Schizosaccharomyces pombe: one gene and its partners. The gene in region 2 interacts genetically with the main gene of each other region. Each region holds a gene or a part of one and is shown on either strand. Other genes may lie near its edges.

What was found.
Region 1: mutations in SPOM_SPCC417.09C (region 2) and ppk38 together harm fitness more than expected from each alone (negative genetic interaction), as found in Schizosaccharomyces pombe (one large-scale study listed by BioGRID).
Region 3: mutations in SPOM_SPCC417.09C (region 2) and gcn1 together harm fitness more than expected from each alone (negative genetic interaction), as found in Schizosaccharomyces pombe (one large-scale study listed by BioGRID).

What each region holds. Positions count from the first base shown.
Region 1 is NC_003421.2:2,389,097-2,395,489, forward strand, and holds ppk38 (Ark1/Prk1 family protein kinase Ppk38), read left to right. Parts: upstream 1-3,122; 5' UTR 3,123-3,175; coding exon 3,176-3,299; intron 3,300-3,344; coding exon 3,345-3,475; intron 3,476-3,543; coding exon 3,544-3,991; intron 3,992-4,045; coding exon 4,046-5,295; downstream 5,296-6,393. Other genes in the region: spx2 (SPX/EXS domain-containing protein), read right to left, coding at 1-856, 922-1,194, 1,261-1,610, 1,663-1,667, 1,708-1,837, 1,894-1,919, 1,962-1,975; arrestin family membrane adaptor Mug170, read left to right, coding at 5,579-6,228, 6,267-6,393.
Region 2 is NC_003421.2:1,689,433-1,697,223, forward strand, and holds SPOM_SPCC417.09C (transcription factor), read right to left. Parts: upstream 5,153-7,791; 5' UTR 5,001-5,152; coding exon 4,654-5,000; intron 4,505-4,653; coding exon 4,084-4,504; exon of another isoform or gene 3,985-4,083; coding exon 3,395-3,984; intron 3,296-3,394; coding exon 2,350-3,295; 3' UTR 1,787-2,349; downstream 1-1,786. Other genes in the region: dipeptide transmembrane transporter Dal51, read left to right, coding at 6,294-7,791.
Region 3 is NC_003424.3:2,223,404-2,230,256, forward strand, and holds the start of gcn1 (translation initiation regulator Gcn1), read right to left. Parts: upstream 3,988-6,853; 5' UTR 3,938-3,987; coding exon 3,790-3,937; intron 3,717-3,789; coding exon 1-3,716. Other genes in the region: U3 snoRNP-associated protein Utp11, read left to right, coding at 5,612-6,361.

The DNA of each region.
Region 1 (6,393 bases), 700 kb from region 2:
CCAAAAGGTTCCAATCCATCAAAATATCCCACGTATAAGAAAAAAGTGAATTTACGCCAGCAAAAATAGTATACAAAACCCGATATTTCAAGCCGGGATGAATCCTCCACAGACTTAAAAACATTTGGGCGAGGATATTAAAAATATATTTTAGAGCATTCACAAGATGTGGAAAGCTTTTCAACGAATCTGAATATCTTCGGAAACATTGAAAAACACGTAAGATGCCAGGCAATGTGGTAAAGAAACCTAGCAAGGGAGAATGTGATGAGTTACAAAGCTGTGGTTGTCGCCAAAGTCGCTTATAAAGGCAAAAGAACAAAGATATATTACCGCATGCATAAGTTAGACTAACCATTTGATCAGCAAAAAAGAAATCCTGAAAATGGACAGTAGAAAGCCCAGATAAAAACACACGGATAAGCTGAATTATCAAGTATCTTCGCATTCTCCAATAGGGAACAATGACGGGGGCTATTAAAAACGTGCCCACTACTCCCAAAAACAGGGCCGGAAAATATATTGTGAAGCCAGGAAAGAAATTTCTCATACACAGGAAAAAGAACAGCGAAAAAATAAAGAAGACTGCTCCTACGATCTCCAAATGCTGACGCCAGTTTAAAGATTTTCTTTGATTAAATTCGAAAATAAGCATGTAGTTAACCCGTGTCTTCTCCCACACGTAACAGTCTAAATCAAACAGTACGAACGCAAAAATTACTAAAAAAAAACCTCCCCATATCTGAAGAAGGTAGGAGGATTGCTCAGTAGCATTATAATAGCAAGCAGCCTCTATAGCCAACGGTAAACCTGCACCAAACAAGAGTCCAAATCGCATCGAGTTTGCAGAAAAGTGCTAAATAACCCAAGTTAGTAATTAGAGTATAACGTAAAGTCCAGATGCAACTGAATTATACTTACCTCTTTTTGACGAAATGACTTAAGATGCTCTAAAGCAAGCTTCTTGTTATGATTGGTAAAAAGACGAGCATATATGTCTTCAACATGCAATTGCCAATTTGTAGTGATGCTGAAATCTGTGAACGTATATCTGCTCATATAATCAACCCAAAAGCCCTGAAGATCTGTATGTAATGTTTTATCATACTTTTTGACAATCTTTCGAAAGGCTTGTTGATTAAGATGCTGGTACTGAGAAACCAATTTGAGATAATCATAAAAGTCCAGCAATGTCTAGTTGAAACAATTAGCAAATTTACAAACATCTATACTATGAAGGAAAAAAGCACTGAGGCATACCGTTTTCAATTTAGATTTCAGTTTGCGATAACTGACCATCGGAGTATAAGCATCAGTTGGGACACTCTTCCTAGCTGGGATATGATAAGCAGGTTGAAGTCGAGAAAAATTGAGGATTGAATCAAGCCTTTGTCTGAGTTTAGAGTGCTGTTTCTGTATTAATACAACAGATCCCGATTCAAGGGTCCCCTTTTTGAATGCACGAAGCTTTTCATATATATCGACCTGATCGCTAATAAGATCCATTCTTTCTCGCGCATCAGACACCAAATTTTCAAAAAATTCTTCCACCTTGTTTGCTTGTTGGTCAAGAAACTCTTGAAAAAGGGGATGAAACCGATGAATTTGCCCTAGGTCAAAAGCAGTTAGAAATGCATTTTTTAGAGATGTCAAAAAACGTACCTCGTCTGTTTTATTAGTCAATAGTGCAAATTAAATAAAACTTACTTTACAATGGCTTCTTCAGGTGTTTCTCCCAAAATCCCTGAAGTACCATACAGACCCTCAGAAGGATTCTTTGCAATGCCTGCGATTATTTTTTTCCCCTTTTTGTAGTCAAAATAAGCAGAAGCCCATTCTACTCGAATTAGCATATCCGAACGTCAATTATTTTTCAACTACAAACTAGCATACCTGCAACAGATTGTCCTTCGATAACCCTGTACAGTTAGTAAGCTTCAGAACTTTCAAAAAATCCTTACTTTCCGAATTTCATGTTCAAATAATTTTTAAAATTAATTACATAAAAGAAAGAATATATGTATATATATATATATTGACTTAGGAAACTCTTTTTTGCAAAAATTAAAAGGCAATATCCTTCAAACGACTTTAAAGCATTCAAAATTCTTGATATCGAAATATATATCAAAATTAAGAAATTTAAAGCATGTATAAAATTTAGGAATGTTTTCTGGTTACTTTGCTTTAGATAGAATGTTGGTTCTAGTTGCCCTTATTAAGATAAGTACACCAAGTGGTATCTGCAAAAAAGGTAAATTTAGTGGTTCCAAGGGATTTATATTTTCATTTAACAATGTTTAAGTATCGTGAATTCTCGGTTTAATTCTTGTGATCTCGTGGTTAATATTAAGAGGCAATTGTTAATGGATGCCACAAAAAAAGTTAAGTAGGGCCATTATTGGGGAAAATGCGCTTTAACATATGTATTGTAATTATTTCACTTTTTTTTGTTTATTTTTCCTCAAACTTTAGAAAAATCACGATTAACTGATCGATGCGATCTAATTATGCTAATTATGATATAAGCGATAGCGAGTTGGAGGTCTGTCTTACTTTACTTCAATTCATAAGATTAATTGTTTAAAAGTAGATAATCTAATGGTAGTATCTTCTGTTCCAATCCTCACAATGGATGATAGCTGTGTTTATTGGAGTTAGTCGTCAATGCATTTGAAGGACAGGAATTTTGCTAATGTAATGAACTACTAGATTTTTAAGTTAACATTTGACGGAGTTCGTCTATTTAAATTTTCCTTTAGCTATCATAGTGGTCCGTAATGCAGCCTTTTATAAGTCTTTCTGCAGTCCCTGAAGCAACAAATTACTCCATCATGTATTCACTATTAGAAGAGAGAACTAAGAAACTTAAATGAAAACATAACTATAATTTTTAACTTAAATAATGCTTGTCTAGTCTTGTCTTCCATAGTATTTATTTTTTGAACTCAGCTTCATCTGTCAATAATGCAATCGAACTCGCTTGGATGCATTTCTTTTTCTATCATATGAAGGCTATCGAATGTATCAATTTATACAAAGGAATAATTCAGTAAAGGCCAATAATTGAATATCACCTGTTTCACTTATATATTATATATCCTAACCCACGTTCCGCTCCTAAACCACCAAATTTACATTGAGTAAATCTGGTTGCAGCAGACTTTCTTTTGCAATGAATGAAACAAACAACACTTCATTGCTTCCAGTATCTTCTTTACCTTCAGGTCTTCTGCCTGTTGGTTTTAGTTGTACGGTGGAAAAGTTTTCGGTTACAGTAAAACGATACCTTGCTGAAGGTATGTAAAATCATCAGCTTCCAAATGTTAACAGCGTATCTTTAGGCGGCTTCTCTCATGTATATTTGGTACAATTGGTCTTCCCAGGAAAGCCACCGTTTGAGGCAGTTTTGAAACGTATCTTTGCAACGGATGCTATGGCCCTTCGAGCTGTGCACGAAGAAGTACGGACTATGGTATGTCCTTCTATCCTGTATTTTGTTGCTCTCCAATTTTTTACTATAAACTAACGACTTGTCTTTAGAAACTTGTTAGCAACCAAAAACGGTGTGTCTCATATTATGGCTCGGAATTTTTTAGGACATCAAAAAATCAATTCGAGGTCCTTGTACTATTGGAGTATTGCCCTTGTGGAGGCTTGATTGACTTTCTGAACACTAGACTTCAAGTTCGTTTATCAGAACAAGAAATTTTGAAAATAGCTTCTGATGTTACTGAAGCGGTTGCAGTAATGCATTACTTGAAGCCTCCGTTAATTCATAGAGATCTCAAGATTGAAAACGTGTTACTAGCTGCCCCAAATTCGTACAAGCTGTGTGATTTTGGTAGTGCATGTCACCCAATACCGGGTGCTAAAACGGCCGCTGAGGCCAAACAGCTAGAATATGATATCGAAAAATTTACTACTTGGCAATATAGATGCCCTGAAATGATTAATGTCCATAAAGGATTTGGGATAGACGAGAAAAGTGGTATGGTTTCTTTGTAACGTTATTAGAATATATTTCGTTAACACTAGCTTTTAGATATCTGGGCGCTAGGGGTTTTGTTCTATAAACTATGCTATTACACAACTCCGTTTGAACATCAAGGGCTTGCTGCTATTATGAATGTTAGTTACGCTTTTCCAACCTTTCCACCTTATTCAGATCGGTTAAAGCGACTAATTTCAACCTTATTGCAGCAATATCCTTGGCAACGTCCTAATATCTACCAAACCTTTTGTGAGATTTGTAAGATGCGTAATGTTCCTATACATATCTACGACATATACAACGGTAAAAATGTATCCAGCTGCAATCCTTCTGGTTCCGAATATCTGCAACATGCTTCCAAGTTAGAAAACAGTGGAATTCACCAGAGTAAATCATCCGTGTTCCCTCAGCCTGCTTCTGCTATGAAGCCAATGGCTTCTCCGATGTTACCCAATGTAAACTCGATGCCTTATCTTTCTAACGGAGATCATAATAATAATGGAAACACTTCTTCTCCTGTCTCAAGGTTTTCGTACGGTCAACATACTTCAAATGTACCTTCTACTCAAAAATTACCTAGCAACTTCCGAGTTACCCAAGGTGCACCACCTAGTCATACTTATGGACCACCTCCACCCGTCCAGCCAAAACCTAAAATATCTCCTACGACTCCTCGTTTAAGCACATTAGCTCTGGCTGACGATATGTTTTCATCTACGGCTAAAGAAACTGTTCCTACAAACGAAGCTGTCTTTACTGGTGATGTTAAATCTTTTGATAGTCAAGAATCAAATATTATAGAAAGTGAACCTCTTTCAGCTAGTAATGCTTCGGGAAAGCCAAGGACTAGTGTTAACCGTTTGGTTGATAGGTACAACCATACATCAAGTTTAAACAAGGTAGCTGCTGCTCCCGCTCCTGTCCCAAAACCTGTAAACTTAAAATCTGTGGAAAACCCACAAAACAATATATCTGCGCCTACACCCTCTAGTCTTCAAAGTTCCAATGCTCCAGTTGGGCTAGGCGAGGTAGAAAGCAAAAGTGTACCTCCAACCAATATGGCCACAGAACGAGGTGTGGTGGGAAGACGTGCCAGTATGTCTATTGCTGTGAATGCACGACGTGTCTCTAAACCCGAAAAAGAGCATACGAATCCAAACGCTGAGCAGGGCGATGTAATTCCCGAAAAACCTATGAGTATAAAAGAAAGAATGAATATGCTTATGACCAAGACTGATTACGAAAAACCGAAGGTTGAAGGCTATGGCCGTTACACCGACGTTCAGCAAACGAAAAAGTAATATTTTTATCATGATCTTCAAATGACCTTACGGATAAGTCAAATAATGTGGACATTAAGTATCTATATTTTACAAAATTTTATTACAATTTCTTTGTATATTTCTTTTTGCGCTTGTTTTTTTACCAACTAAGTTACCGTTTTGTTTTGGAATGTTTACCATCGAGTATGATGTTGACGAGTAAACAACCTCATTGGCAAATATCAGTTTAAGATTTCTCCAACAACTATTTCCAATAAATAAAAATATACATTCATTTTGATAACAACCTAATATCGTGCTAATGACAGAAGAACTTTTTAGTAACAGTGAAACTTGCAGTTTGTCGGATCCATTGACATCTAAAACATTGTCAAGTATAGAAAATCCTTTTGATGATCCCTATATATTAAGTGAAGAGTCAGAAATATTAACCATCAAAACTGATGTGTTACGACCGAATATTCTGAATAGGAAATCGTCTTTTTATCCTGAAGCTGATGCACCAGTTCGAAAATCTAATTTACAAGTAAAAAAAATCTTTGAAAACCAAGTTTTAAATTGTGATGGTATAAAAGTAGCAATAACGATTCCTGATACTTCCTTAATAGCTGGATCCTTGTTACATGGCAACATTTGGTTATCCTACGAAGGGGCAAAAAACGTGGAAACCGGTGTTTGGATAAAGGAAATGTTTCTCGATTTCTATGGTATTTTGAATTTTAAAGGCCATTCAGAACCTTTCTATTCTATCTCTGAAAAGTACTCGTTTTGCAACCTTAAGACATCTGCACTGATTCTCTCAAAGGCAGCTTCTGCCAGCATAGGCAACAAGGGCCTTTTCCTTAAATGTTCTTGTAAAGTTGGGTTTCCTTTCTCCTTCATCGTTCCTTTGGATATAGGTCCAGGTACTTATCATTCATCGAAATTAGAACTGTTATACTATATTTCAAGGTAAAAGATTAAACCGAAAAAAGTAACTGACATCTTAGTACGCTGACTTTAACATCTCTGGATCAAAATATTCGCTGTACTCGTTGTACAATTCCTAAACGGGTAATCACTTCAATGCATAATAATATAGCGGAGCTATATAACCCGATCTCATGCATTAAAAGC
Region 2 (7,791 bases):
TTGCGACAGATTGCTTAACTGTTTTTTATATGGTAAGAGAATAGCGGAAATTTTTGATATTAAGTAGATGAAACTATGCAAATTTAAGATAAATAGCATAAGCGTATTTTTTTAGGATATAAAACAAGAATAAATATAAGTTAAAAAAATATAATTAATCCCTTTTACCAACTAGTTTTACAATTTGTATAACACAATTCAAATTCTCGAATAACAGATTTAGTTAACCTTTTACAAAAACTGTGAATATATATCACAAATTTGAGATAGCTTTCAAGAAGTCACTATGTCCGAGTGGTTAAGGAGTTAGACTTGAATCCTGTATTCTAGTCATCTAATGGGCTCTGCCCGCGCAGGTTCAAATCCTGCTGGTGACGGTATTTGTGCGCGGTAGGAGAGTGGAACTCCGACGGGCTCATAACCCGTAGGTCCCAGGATCGAAACCTGGCCGCGCAACTATTTTTTTCATTTGTTTATTTGACTTTAAATAATTTTTTGCTTAGTTGTTGGAATTGAATAATTTTAATGACTTGCAGAGCTCGCTTCAGCTTGAATTGTGAGTTTCTCATCTAATCTTAAGAGTAAATAGTTCAGAAGTGTGAGGACAAGTGATACTTTTAGCATTGGAGTTCTTTGGAAGGTTGTTGAAATAAATCAATGAGTAAACTGGTCAAGGAAAAAAAATCCCTTTTTAGGAAATTCGCATAAAAATGATATCCTAAAGTTGTAACAAGAATCAGAACTTGCAAATATTGAATATCGATCAATGCAGTTTCTCAAGCATCGTGACTGAGAAATTTTTATCCCAAAAGTATAGCATTTTTATGTTACTATCGACATTGCAACTACTGCGACTATTGCAGATTTCTCACTTAGCTGATGCTTTACACTGAACATTGAGGACTATGGGCGAGGTATTCATTCCCATTCATTGCAACGAATATTTGCCAAATGTAGAATCAATTGAATATCTGTTGTGTTTTCCACATAATAGTCTAGCAAATCATGAGAGCTATTTCAAGCTATGCCTTAATTCGAGGTTCTGCAACTGCAGCATCTGTATCGCTCAAACTCAAAAGCATTATATGGCATGGGCACCGGTTTTTCAAAGGGGCCTTATTCGCTTCTAAAGTTGCGTTTAAATATGTGCACCAAACTCCATCTTGCGATTTTGAATGGTAACATAGGTATGCAAAAAAACTCTCTAAACCGAATTCGTTTATCCTATTTTAAGCTCTGAGGAAGCATGATTCCATGACCGAAATATTTGAGACTAAATTGACAAAACTTGACAGTCGAATACTTAGTCATCAAGAGAAGCCTTTTCTTTGGTAGAAAAGTTGAAGAGAAATATACAAAAGCGTTATAATAATTGTTAAATTTTGAGTCAATCAATTAGTTAAATCGTCCAACTAGAAACTCTTTAAGGGAATATTGGCTGAAATAAATTTAAAGAACCTTTATCCATTCCCCTAATGAACGCTATAAAAATCATTTATTACATTATCGAACGTCTACGGCCATACCTAGGTGAAAACACCAGTTCCCGTCCGATCACTGCAGTTAAGCGTCTGAGGGCCTCGTTAGTACTATGGTTGGAGACAACATGGGAATCCGGGGTGCTGTAGGCTCCTTTTTTTTAATCAGTTAGTTGAATTCATTTCTAGTTATTATTTTTCATTCTTGATTGCAGACGCTATCCAGTATTTCCATAGTTATCGTTTACACAAGGAAACTTATATGAGACTGTGAAAGTCAAAAGGACTATACGTTAAAATGATTGTCAATTCAGCTTGTTTATGATACTTAAAATATTGAATTGCTAATATCCATAAAATGAAATAACGAAAATTTCTATCATACTCAGCGAATCGCAACTGTATATGTGTATGTACAGTTTTCTGTTCAATAATTCAACACTCGTCAATTGAAGCCTTTAATTCCTTTAAGAGGGTAATTAGAAACCAAGCTAAAACAATTGCTTCTAATTGAGAACCATTAAAACGGGTTTAATCTAGATAAGACAAAAGGAAAGATACAATAAAGTTAGAAGTAAAATTGTGTTAACAGTTATGCACGTTATGTATTCATTAAAAAATGCAACTGCCTATTTTTTTTATCTTTTGTTTTTTTTTTTTTGGAAAAGGATTTGGTCAAATCAGCATGATTTGATCATATAAAAAAAGGATGCAATGTGACCATGGGAAAAAGGGTTAACTTTCAGTTTCATTTGCTTTAATAGTAAATATGTTCAGTAAGGTAGACCAACTAGGAGAAAAGAATAAGGGTAAATTAAAATATCGACCTTTTTAAAATTCAGGTTTGAGTAGTTTCGAAAGAAAGCCATCATTACATGTCTCCATCGTCACTAGGGAAAATGAAGTTATCAGCGGGGAGTAAAAAGCCAAAACCCTTCGCATCATTGAAAAGTGCCTCTAGTGAGGCATTGATATTTTCATCATTCCAAAGATTTTGTAGGTTGATTTGATTATGATAATCAGCATCTCTAGGGAAGAAAGGCACCTGCGTCGAATAAGCTGGTTCGGTAGCATTAAGCCTTGATTGATATACCTCGCTTTGTTCAGCAAATGCCCGCAAGTTAGTTATGACATCCGTACTTCCTTTTAAAAGTGGAAATCTGTCGGTAACAAAATTCAAAATGTCAATAGCCGTATTCAGTTGTTCGATCGTTTGTTCAGACGGGTTGATTAGAAGATGCACCAGAATGATAAAAGAGGCGGCATGACATGAATGGTAATCCATAAATGAATAGACAGATAGAAATTTGTGCATTCTTAGTAGTACAAGGAGGTCGACAATGTGCAAAGCGGATGAATAGCAGTATGAAATTAACTTATCAGTAAGAAGCCTAGCTCCCTCATCCGTCTTACTATTCATCGTTCTTTCACGAAGCCGGTGTAGTAAGAACGGTCGGCCCATGGCAATTCGAACAATATGATAAGCTAGATGCAAATGAACGATACCTCTGTAAGACCTGCTATCTGGGCCAATGTTTTGTATTTCTAGATCAGGAGACAGTTGTTGGCGCCATGCCTCAATTTCGTTTACAATCTCTTTAATGGTAGCTGCTTTTAAGTTCGCCTTTCCATGTAGCGAGGAATACCACATGTCATAGACTTTATTAGTTAGAAGGGAAATTTTAATAGCTAAGGTGAAGGTCCGGAAGCTGGCAATGAAGTTTTGCGAATCTAAACTTTCACGGTATTCTGGAAAATGAATATCAATTTCGGAACGCACAAGACTCTCGGGCCTGCCCAGAGAAATACCTATTTTTCTAAAAGTTAAACGTTAGCATAAAATAATGAGGAGGAATAATAAAAAATTCTCTTCTTCTTCCCAGACATGAATCTTGGGAAGTTTTCAACAGCCTTACCTTTCCATGCAATATACACTCCAGAAAAGCCGTTTACGAAGTTCAGCAACATCTCCGGAAAATTGAGCATTCGCAGACTTTTTGTGCATACCATTGGCAACAGCAGCTCTCATAGCTATACCAAAGTACATGTATACAACTTCGTGTGCCAATGTTGGAGACAAATACATACCGGCTAGGAAGAAAGACTGTACTGTTTCCAACGACGATTCACTGATGACTTTGGGAAAAAGAAGTTTGGCGTTTTGGTAAAACTGAGAGCCAGGATAAGTCCAACGATCGTGATTTTCATCAGAAAGGAACTCTGGATGGCGAATGTAGGAGAATAGACTGCCCATGGCCATGCTCAGAAGAAGCATACACACAAAACCACCATCTTTTGATTGAAAGGAAGTTGGATCATCGAAAAGATGATGGACTTTTGCAGCAAACAGCTTGGTATTATAATAAAAATGGTTGTTGTCACTAGAAAATTGCCAAAATGTCATAAGTAAATAAAAAGTGATATCCTTTGGGGGTAATGCATGGATTAAAGAGGCGACAGTATTATCGGCGGGATCTAAAATATCTTCAAATGTTTTATTTCCTTTCTATTGAGAAAAACGGGTTAGTAAAGAACAGTAAAATCGATGATGCCCCACAACATAGCAAGGGTATGAAATGAAGTAGATGAATCCATCAATACATACGTTAGTGAGTTTATGCTGCACCTGAAATTCCCTGCCCTGGCAAATGATCTCGTGCACGCGAGCGACGAAGCTTTCGTTAGAGCCGGCATCTTCGTAATATGTCTGTGTCTCATTCAAAGTCACTTGTTGATAGCTTCCAAGTTCGATGTCGGTAAGTACTTTATCAGGATAGGTTTGAAGGCTTTCACTAAGCTCCGCAATCTTTGCTTCCAAGCTGGGCAAATCCAAGCTCATACTTGGCATGAGTTTAGAAAGGATGGTCTCCATATGACTGAGTCTCTGAAGATTGAGAGAAATTTCGTCTTTATTCATAAGCAATCTAGGAGGAGTTTCTATTACGCATTCTAATCCTTTTTTAAGACATCTGCCACAGGGAAAGTTACCGACGCATTTGATTTTATGCTTTTTGCATTCCACACAACTAATATTAGCATTTGAATGAATAGACAAAAAAAAAGTAGAAAAAATAAAACCAAAAAAAAATTGTAAAGTAAGGAAATAAAGAAACAACTACATAATTCAATAGATCAACTAAATAATACGAAAACAATAAATATAGTAATAACAAACAAATCAAGCAACTTTTGGTTGGAATGGCGGCTGATCGAACGCGTACAAACTAAACGTCTTTCAACTCGACCAAAACAACCAGATGCATATTTATTTACATACGCAATAGCTTTTCGAATCCTTTTTGAAGGTGGAATTCGCTCGCCTCTTCTTCTTTTCGGTTTTGAGCCTCCAGCGCTCTTCTTCCCAGTTTCTGCTGTGCTCGCGTTCGCGTTCGCGCTGCTGCTGCCAACAACAACATTACCACCCCTTTCTTCTTCCTCTAGTTGATCCTCCAACTCCATAGCTTCGCTTCTACTCATGCCACTACGACTCCTATCCTCATGGGGCTGCATCCTAGCATGCATGCAGTGAGAATGCAGCGGAACTCAAGCATTTACTATTCTAAGCTATTTATCCAAACAGAAAACCCTCGATTTTTGTGTATGGAATTCACTCCAGCAACTCCAGCTCCAGTTCTCCTCGCTCTCGGAGATCTCGGGGCCCATCCGTTAACAGTGGTTTGCACGTTTGCGTACTCGCCCATTATCTTGGAAATGGCGGCATGCCTAGCAATCCTATCCTGATAGCCCCACGGCTTCCACCGCATTTCCACAATCACTGTGCAATTTTTAGAGAAATATCACTAGCCTTTCTAAATCCGAAATAATGACCTTGATGGATGACACTATCATTTCTTCTTGGTATACCCAGTGTCTTAGTGTATTATATTTCCGGTGGCTATAGCCGACTTAGACATCTATTGCTATCTTGGTGGAATCATATCTAAGCATGGCGAGCGATCAGTACTGTTTTACACTAGTATATGTGGTAAGTGGTGATAAGCTGCGCTATGAGTGCTTGGACGAAAAATTTAAAAAATGAGTTGGGAGCTCGATGTTAGCGTTGGGATGAGGAAAAATCAACGTATGAATGATATGCGTCTTGATTTCCCCATTTCTCATCAAGAAATTCCTGCAAAGTTAGAAATGCAAGACCCAATGTTGGCTCGACTGCTTAGGAAGCGTTTCATTCCATCATTTATTTATTTTATCAAGTATTTACGGTTTTTACGCCCCTGATATCCGATCTTGGATGTTTGTTTAAACGATGAAACTTGACGAATAGATAGGAGACTGACGCATCAACTTTGCCAATTTACCTAACATTATCAAGTTCTCCTATATCTCCGGGCTCAGAAGATCTTTGGAGGAACAATGGGGTAGCACGATATCGGGTATTTAGTGCTAAAACCAGGTAGAGTTGGTAGGTATTGCAATGTTTAATGATAGGTGCAACAGTAGAATTTTTGGTATGTAGGAAAATGTGCGATGCAGTGAACATACTCGAGATTACAAACCGGGTACACCAACCGGAGGGTGGATGCCAGATAACCAAGTCAAGAGCTTGTCTGCCTGGTTTAAAAGGAAGGGATCACCTTGCAATGCTACAAGCCAATTTCATTAGTATATCGATCCTCAATAAGAAAAACAACCCGACTACACTCATTATAAGTGTTGGCGAAAATAGCTTTTACTAAATTTCATTCTCTTTTCCCTCCTCTAATTTTAATTCTTTTTTCTTTTTTCCCTTTCCTTTCTCTACTACTTTTAGACATACTACCATAATCCCGCTTAGATATTTAAGCGCCTAGCGAGAAAATGTCAAGCATCAGTATAGACGAAAAGCTGAAAGATCCCGAGAGTGTCCAAAATAAGGAAATTCTCGATGTCGACGTTGGCGATCTCTCGCCAAAAGGCGTGGATGCTGCTTTCAATTACGCCCTTGATGTCGACTACGATGAGATCGATCCAGAAACGGAGCGTAGATTGGTACGCAAAATCGATTGCACAATCTTCCCCGTCATGTGTCTAGTATACTGCATCCAATTTTTGGACAAAACTTCAAATTCCTATGCCGTTATCATGGGTCTCAAAGAAGACTTGAAGATGGAAGGTCAAATGTATAGTTGGTCAGGTACTGCTTTCTACTTGGGTTACCTTGTCTTCGAATTCCCTGCATCTCTTCTTCTTCAGCGCTTTCCTTTATCCAAGACCTTGTGTGTTTTCTTAGTCATTTGGGGTTTCTTGCTTTGCATGACCTCAGTTGCCAACTATCCTGGCTTTATCGCTCTTCGTGTGCTTCTCGGTATGATGGAATCTGCCGCCAGTCCTGGTTTCATTCTTCTCACTGCTCAATGGTACAAGCGCAGTGAACAACAACTTCGTACTTCCGTATGGGTCGCTTTTAATGGTTTGGGTCAGATCCTTGGTAGCTGCATGGCTTATGGTTTGGCCAAGAGGACCAGTCTTCCCATGAGAGGTTGGAAGCTTATTTTCATTATTTGCGGTGTCCTCGCCATTTTCTTGGGATTTGTCATTCTTGCCGTCGTTCCCGACAATCCTTTCAAAGCCTGGTTTCTCACTGAAGAAGATCGTAAGTTGGTTGTCAAGCGTCTTCGTGCCAACAAGCAAGGTGTTGGTAATAATCACTTTAAATTGTATCAGTTTAAGGAAACCATGCTTGATATTCGTACTTGGATTATGTTTGTCTCATCCGTTCTTTTGAATATTCCCAATGGTGGTATCGGTACATTTTCCTCTCTTTTAATTAAAGGTACCATGGGTTATGATACCCTTCAAACCTTGCTTATGGGTCTTCCTGCCGGCGCTTGTGAATTTGGTGGATTGATCGCCTTTGGGTTTTTGAGTTTGTTCATTCATAAACGTATGGTTTTGGCTACCATCACCACATGTATTGCCTTGATTGGATCCTGTTTGCTTTCTTTCGCTGGTCCTCCTCGTGCACAGCTTGCAGGTTACTATTTATTGATGGTTTCTCCAGGTGCCATGATTGTCATGTTCGCCATCATTTCTTCCAACGCCTCTGGTTATACAAAGAAAGTCACTGTTGGTGTTATCTATCTTATCGGATACTGTGTGGGAAATTTAATCGGCCCTCAAACTTTCAAAGCTGCTGACGCTCCTGAATATATGCCTGCTAAGAACACCATGGTCGGTTGTTATGCAGCAACTTTAGTCACATTTCCTGCTCTTTACTATGTTAATTGGAGAGAAAACAAGCGTAGGGATCAATTGGCTGCGGAGGGAAAGATTGAGCATCGTCCCAATGCTGAATTTGAAGATCTTACAGATTTTG
Region 3 (6,853 bases), on a different chromosome or scaffold from region 2:
AACATTCAACTTTTGTTCAAAAAGTTCCATTAGAGCCTCAACCTGGTGTGCACCTGATTGAAAAATTGCTAATTTTCCAGCCTCAAGCATTTTCGATGACACTTTTTGGGAAGCATCAGTTACTGGAATTTGTGCCTCCGCTTCCGAAGCAGTTAACAAGAACTCCAAGAAGGGTAATAGCAAATTGGACGAAAGATATTTGGAAATGTGAAAAAAGGATACGGCTACTGATTCTCTAGCTATACGCCCCAAATCGCGTCCAATAGTTTCTTTCTTAATGATTCCATATTCATCATATTCGGGAGCAGAAGGTAAAGCATTCTCACGATATGTTCGCATTAATTCCTTCGGTATAAATTGACCAAGCTCTTCAAACTCGTCAAGCAAATCAATTAAAGATTTACCAATGATCTGCTGAAGATAGTCCGAATCTTGAGTAAAAAATATTTGAAGTTCAAAAAATGAAGTTTCGGTAGCATCAAGTCCATTTTGGGTCGATATTTGATGAGCTATAGATGCATTTGTTTCATTATCATCATACAATTCCAGAAAGATTTCCTTAATAAATTCAAAACGTGATAAATCAAAAGCCTGTAAAGCTTGCAAAACAGCTGATCGGATACTACTTTCCGGGTGAAAAAGATTACTTAATAATAAATTAAGTTCCTCATCGGTATATGTCGAGTGTAACCCTTCACAAAGAGAAAGTAAAGAGTTTTTATTTTCCTGATACTGCGTAGGTGCAATCTCAAGTAAGTGCAGCAATGATTTTATTAGCTTTGAACGCATTCTCCTTAGTGAAGCTGAGTAAAGTGCTTGAAACTCCAAAATTTCTGTAACCAAAAGTTGTAATTCGGCTTCATCTTCTTCATCAGAATTGGTGATATTAAAGGTCAAGTCATAAAGTAATGGAAATATGCATGCAAACATTTGTGGCTCAAAATAGTTTTGCTCAATGGCAAAGCGAAGTTTGTAAAGTATGGATTTTGTTAATTCCTTAATATTTTCAGAAGAATTTACACTAAATGTATGGGCAAGGATAGAGGCGAGACTCGATGAATAAGATCTATCACCTAATCGTTCAGAAAATCCAGAAGCTTTCAAAGTAAGCAGAAAAGTATCATAGGCCAAGTTTTTAAGAAATGGCTCACTATATTTCAGAACGTTGTGGAAAAGTAAGACATCAATAGCATCTTCAACCCATAGGGCAGGTGCGAGTTGCACAGCCTCACCTAAGCTCCGAATAATGCCTAATCCCCTTTCTAATGAAAGTGCAATCAAGTTGACTCGACTACGAATTTTAGCTTCAGCATCGAGTTGTGCATCAACAAGAGCTTGTTGATCCTTACTCAACTTCGCAGGCTTTTTAGCAGACTGTTTCGCCCTCACTTCAGCTTCCCATCTCTTAGTCTCATAATCCTTGGTATTCTTATCAAGCTTCTTTGAAGATTTTTTTTCTAAAACGTTATCCCACAATACACCCTCAGGGGTCTTCCAAATTTCTAAATCCGTACTTGATACAGAAGAAATGTTAAGGTGCAACAATTGATTACGGAAAACATTTACGAACAAAGGTATTGATTCTTCAGGAGCGACAAAAACAATCATGGAAATAGACGCAATAGCTGCTGTCTCTTTAGAGTCCTTGATAGCAGAAGAAAGTAACAACTCTATTTCTTCGATGATACTGTGTATGCGTTCAGAAACAAGAGTAGCGGGATCACGTTTAGACACTTGACAGAAGCGAATCCAATCAAACTTATCCTTAAATGCAAAGGAGAGGAAGAGGAGTTCAACCAAATATTTATCGAAGTCAACAAGTTCCTGGTTTGAAAAGTTAGAAGTATCAGCGGACATCGATGAAAGGATTAAGGATTGAAATAATGAGGAAATCTCATCGTATTTGGCTGAGTCAAACTTTCCTACGCTCTTGGACTTCTCGAAATCAGCATGATAATTCCATAGTTGTGAGCAAATTGACATACGAAGATGGGGACGGTATAGTATTGCCGATTTAAGAATCTTTAGCGCACGATTAGAATTTTCACGGCTAGCAAAAGAAAAAACGCCGATGACCGATTGAAACCAACGTTCAACAAAATTGGAAAATAACAAATTATCAGAAACTTTTGCAAAATCACAGAGGCCCTGAAAATACCAAAGTTTCGACTGATCATCATTAAGCTTATTGGTAATTTTGCTGGAGAAAATGAAAACATCATTATTTTTGGGAGTTGACAGTTTTACTAAAATGTCCTGCAATTCAAGAGTATGGGATATTCTCTCACTATTCCAAACAGACAACTTATTAACACCGAAACTTAAATAAATTATAGGTGCTAAGTATGTACCATTTTGAGTAGCACCAGATACAGACATTAGAGCCTTTTCCGTAAGAATAGACAAATTATTTAAAAAGAAATTGATAAATTCTATTTGAACATCATCAGATGCAGGAAGATCCCATGCCATTGTAGCTAAAGATGTGAGCCAAAACATCGACTCATGAGCGACAGGTCTCTGTAGGCTTTTAGAGAGAAAATCGTAAATTTTGTCTCCGGGATTACGACCATTCATTAACAAAAATTTCAACGTTTTAACAATCAATGACGCAAGCGAATTAAAATCACTCTCTTTTGCTTTAGTAAAAAGAGGTAATAATTCATTCAACAGCATTGAAGCATCGATATGTTTTAGAGAAAGACTCGAGAGTGCATCAACAAAAAGAACACGCTGATCGGAAGCCGTAACCTTTCCGGTTCTAAGAGAGGTAATCAGTTCAGACGCAACGCGTGAAAGTGATTCATTATCACTCGCATTAGCTGATAAATCCTTAAACGTTTGAAAGCAGTTTCTTCTAACCTCTGCGTTTGAGCTTTTCAGTCCGTTCACAAACGAGGTAAGTACAGACGAGAGAATCAAAGAAGAAGCATCCACCTTTGAATCCGCGAAACCATGAGCCAGAGAAGAAAGTATACCTGAAAAGATAATTTCTGGAGAGCGAAGTAAAGCTTTTTCAATGGAAGGAAGTAGGTATAGCTTCAATTGATCTACTGAAAGAAGCAAACCAAGACTGTAGCAAAATTCATGATACAAGTATTTCTCAAGTGCAGGTTTTGCCATTAAAACATTTTGGGCCATTATTTTTGAAAAGAGCTCAGCCTGCTGAGAAATTTCATTGCGAGGATTGGGAGATTGGTGAAAATAGTAGCATGTGCTAATAATAACACCATACAAAGGTAGAGATTTGGGTGGAAGAATAGCATTCTCGGTTTCTGTCAACAGAAAACTAACCAACTTCTTCAAGGAGTCCATTTTTTTGCAAAATAAAGAACGATAGCATCTCCTAGTAGACTTTATGGCACTGTCAGCAACACTGGGTTTTCCATCGCGTAGAGCATATGATAAAAAACTGCTTTGTAGTGGAAGCAGTTCTAAAATCCAATACTGTAGCTCTTTCTCTGGAAGGTTGGGAATCATTGAATTAACCCAGTTAAGACAATCAAATGATACAGAGACAGTACTCCTGAAGCGATCCAATCTTCCAGCGATGGTGGTCAGCCGACGAACTAAGAAAGGAAGCACTATTGAAGGTAATCTACTGACCAAATGATTTATTGTTATTTCGATTTGTTTTCGAGCATCTCTAGAAAGATTTCGTGGTAAAGTTTCAAAAATATCTTCCAAGGCAGCAATAGCTGATTCTTCGTCAATATCTGAAATGAAAAGTTAGAACAAAAAGAACTTCACCAGTTTTCATAAAATTAGTAGTCTAGAAGTCTAAATTACCTTGAGTACGACAAATATGCTGAAGGATATCTATCATAATCTTCTTCGATCCCAAAAATGCGAGCGAAGTATCTTTACTTAGCAACATGGCATAAAGCATCCGATCTTTATGACCATGTGCTTCTATCCCAGGTTCTTCGACCGACATGACCGATATCGGAGAAAGAAATGTTGGTTATGGACAGGTTCGCAGAGGGTACATTAGCGTCAAGCAATTTTCGATTACCTAACGAACTCGAGTTTACCGAACCAAATTAATAAGTTAATAGTAATATTCTTAAAGATAGGTATTTTTGCGCAAAATTAAAGAGTATAAAAGAAATCTAAACGGCTATATACCTGATAATTTCATAAGAGAATTTATTTTTTTTAAATTTTTTTTGGCTAATATCGTTTATATTTATCAATACTTTTAGAATTCACAGACAACTGCTTCCTAAATTAATTGCTTTATTTTATCAGCGATTTAAATGCACCTATCGTATTTTACGCGATTTTGGGACACATATTCTACAGGGTCTGTTGCAATTATCCATATAAAAATTTGTCTATGTAACTAGTCTTAGTTTCTTCTTTCTTTTTGATGTGTAACAAAACCAATTATTTGCTAAACAGTCATTTTATAAAGAGTTCGTTCAAGTACCAGCAAGTTAGGATTAATTTTAATATTATAGATCCTTTTTTTTTTTTTTTAAATTTAAAAATAATATTTAATATCAGTTCGAATTTAATTATATTTCCCATAAAAAAAAAAAAAAAAAAAATACACATTTAATAACGCATATTACATGTAAATATTAGTTCCCTAGTTTTTGCTAGGCTGCAGTCAATATTCTATATTGTACAAGCATTAAGGGTAAATTAAGAAAAAATCAAAGTACAAATGTTTAATGAATTAAATCTTCTGAATCGAATAACAAAAATCTAATATACTTGCTATGAAACTCTCGGTTGTGCCAAGCGTTTTACACTCACCAGTAACAGCTTTTTCTCTTCTTTGATCTATTCCCTTTTCATTGTGGGAAGTGTGTAAAGACAACTTGCCGTCAGCTACAGCATCTATAACTGCTTTGAGGATACAGTAAACTACGATGACTATTTAACAAAATCTTTTTTTAAAATAAAGCCATACTGAAGGATAATCGGTATAACAATGCTTAACATTATTTACCAATTCAGTGGAATTACAGAACAAAGAGATGCACTTTTTGTTCAATTGAGTTATGTCAACCACAAGCACATACATTGGGAACGACGGCATCGTAATGGATAAGATTAAGGACATTAAACTTAAGTAATGTGTAATGTAGTGAGATATCGATGACAGTTAATGTTAACGACAGCATAGCGATTAGTCCTAATGCGTTGCTCTTACTTTCCTTATTTTTTATTTTTCAGTAATTAATAAATTATCTTGAGGCTTCCGTTCCTTTTGAGCAGAATAAATCAATGAATAAAAAGTTTTATAGAGAAGTTAAGACAATTATTTTTTAATAATAAGTATTGCTAAACTGATAGATATGGGCTGCACATTAACAGTAAACTTTCCAATTCTACTAGAAAGCTAACAAGCCACCATTCAGCCAAAGACTCTTTCTAAAAAATTTGATTATATCTATAGAGTATTAACAGTATAACTTCAAATCGTAAACAATACAAGCACTAGCCAAGGGGGTAATAGCGTATCTTAACGTCCTGAGCACATTGCACGCTAACACTTGTAGTGCCCTAAACACAAATATTTTGCAGAGGCGAATCTGCTAAAAGCCAATAATTCGGTTCTTTGACAAACAGCCAAACATTAACCATAACTTTTTTAAAGATGTCTTCGTCTTTTAAAAATGCAGGTCAAAGGAAAAATCATCGAGAAAGAGCTCAGCCTTTTGAAAGACGAAAATGGGGTTTGCTAGAGAAACGAAAGGATTATGCGCAGCGTGCTCAGGATTATAAGACAAAGCAAAAGAAGTTAAAACGTCTTCGTGAAAAAGCCCTTGAAAGAAACCCTGATGAGTTTTATCATGAAATGACACACAAAAAGACCAAAAATGGAGTACCCCTTGAACAGCGCGAGGATTCAACCATCGATATGGACACAATCAAAATTTTGAAAACTCAAGACATTGGCTGGATTCGGCATCATCGCAATGTTGAACGTGCTAAAATTGATCATTTGGAACAACAAATGCATACTGTGGGAGCTCATCGGAATAAAAATGAATCCAGGAAGCACACCATCTTCGTAGACAATGTTAAAGAGGCAAAAAGTTTTAACCCAGCTGAATTTTTCCAAACTACAGATGATCTGGTTGGTCGAACCGAAAATCGTGTAAAGAAAGATCAAATTGAAAACAATGAACTGACAAACCAGCCTTTTTCTGGAAAATTGCACTCAAAATTAAAAGAAAAGGCGGCGACCGAGCTTCTTTTGCGCCAGAAACGCGACAAAAAATTGGCGGCTGCTGAAGAACGTGTCGAGCTTGATAGACTTTTACAGGGAAAAGGAGGCCGTCAGAAAAAGAAGGTCGTAAACGGAAAACCGGTATACAAGTGGAGGAATGAGAGAAAACGATAATTTCCTTAAATTGCTCCTAACATAATTGAGGAACTGTTTTCAGTTTGTTGTGTTTGTGATTTACTGGTTGTTATTTCGTTTCTTTCATTTAGTTGTACCTTTTTTGTTATTTATCATTTTCTCTATTTAGTATGAATGTACTTAGGTTTTGGAATTTTTAACGAATGGATTGCTTATTTATGAATAATTTGGTTTAATCATCTGTCTAATTCTAAGCAAATATCCATCTATTTCTCATATTGAGCTTCATAGTGTTGTGAGTCATTCAATATTACCGAATTATTTTATCGGTGAGTATTAAGAGTTTGTCTTAGGTTGTAATTCCCAAACTTTAAAAGTGTATGGAATGGTTTAATTCAATGCCTTGTAGTGTGATAAATTGTTTCCTTTCTTTTTGTAATTGCAGAAGCTAGAATTATAGTTGTTATTTTATTCTAATACTCTCTAAAGAAAATGTAAAGTACGAAACGTACCAAAAAATTCAAGCTATAT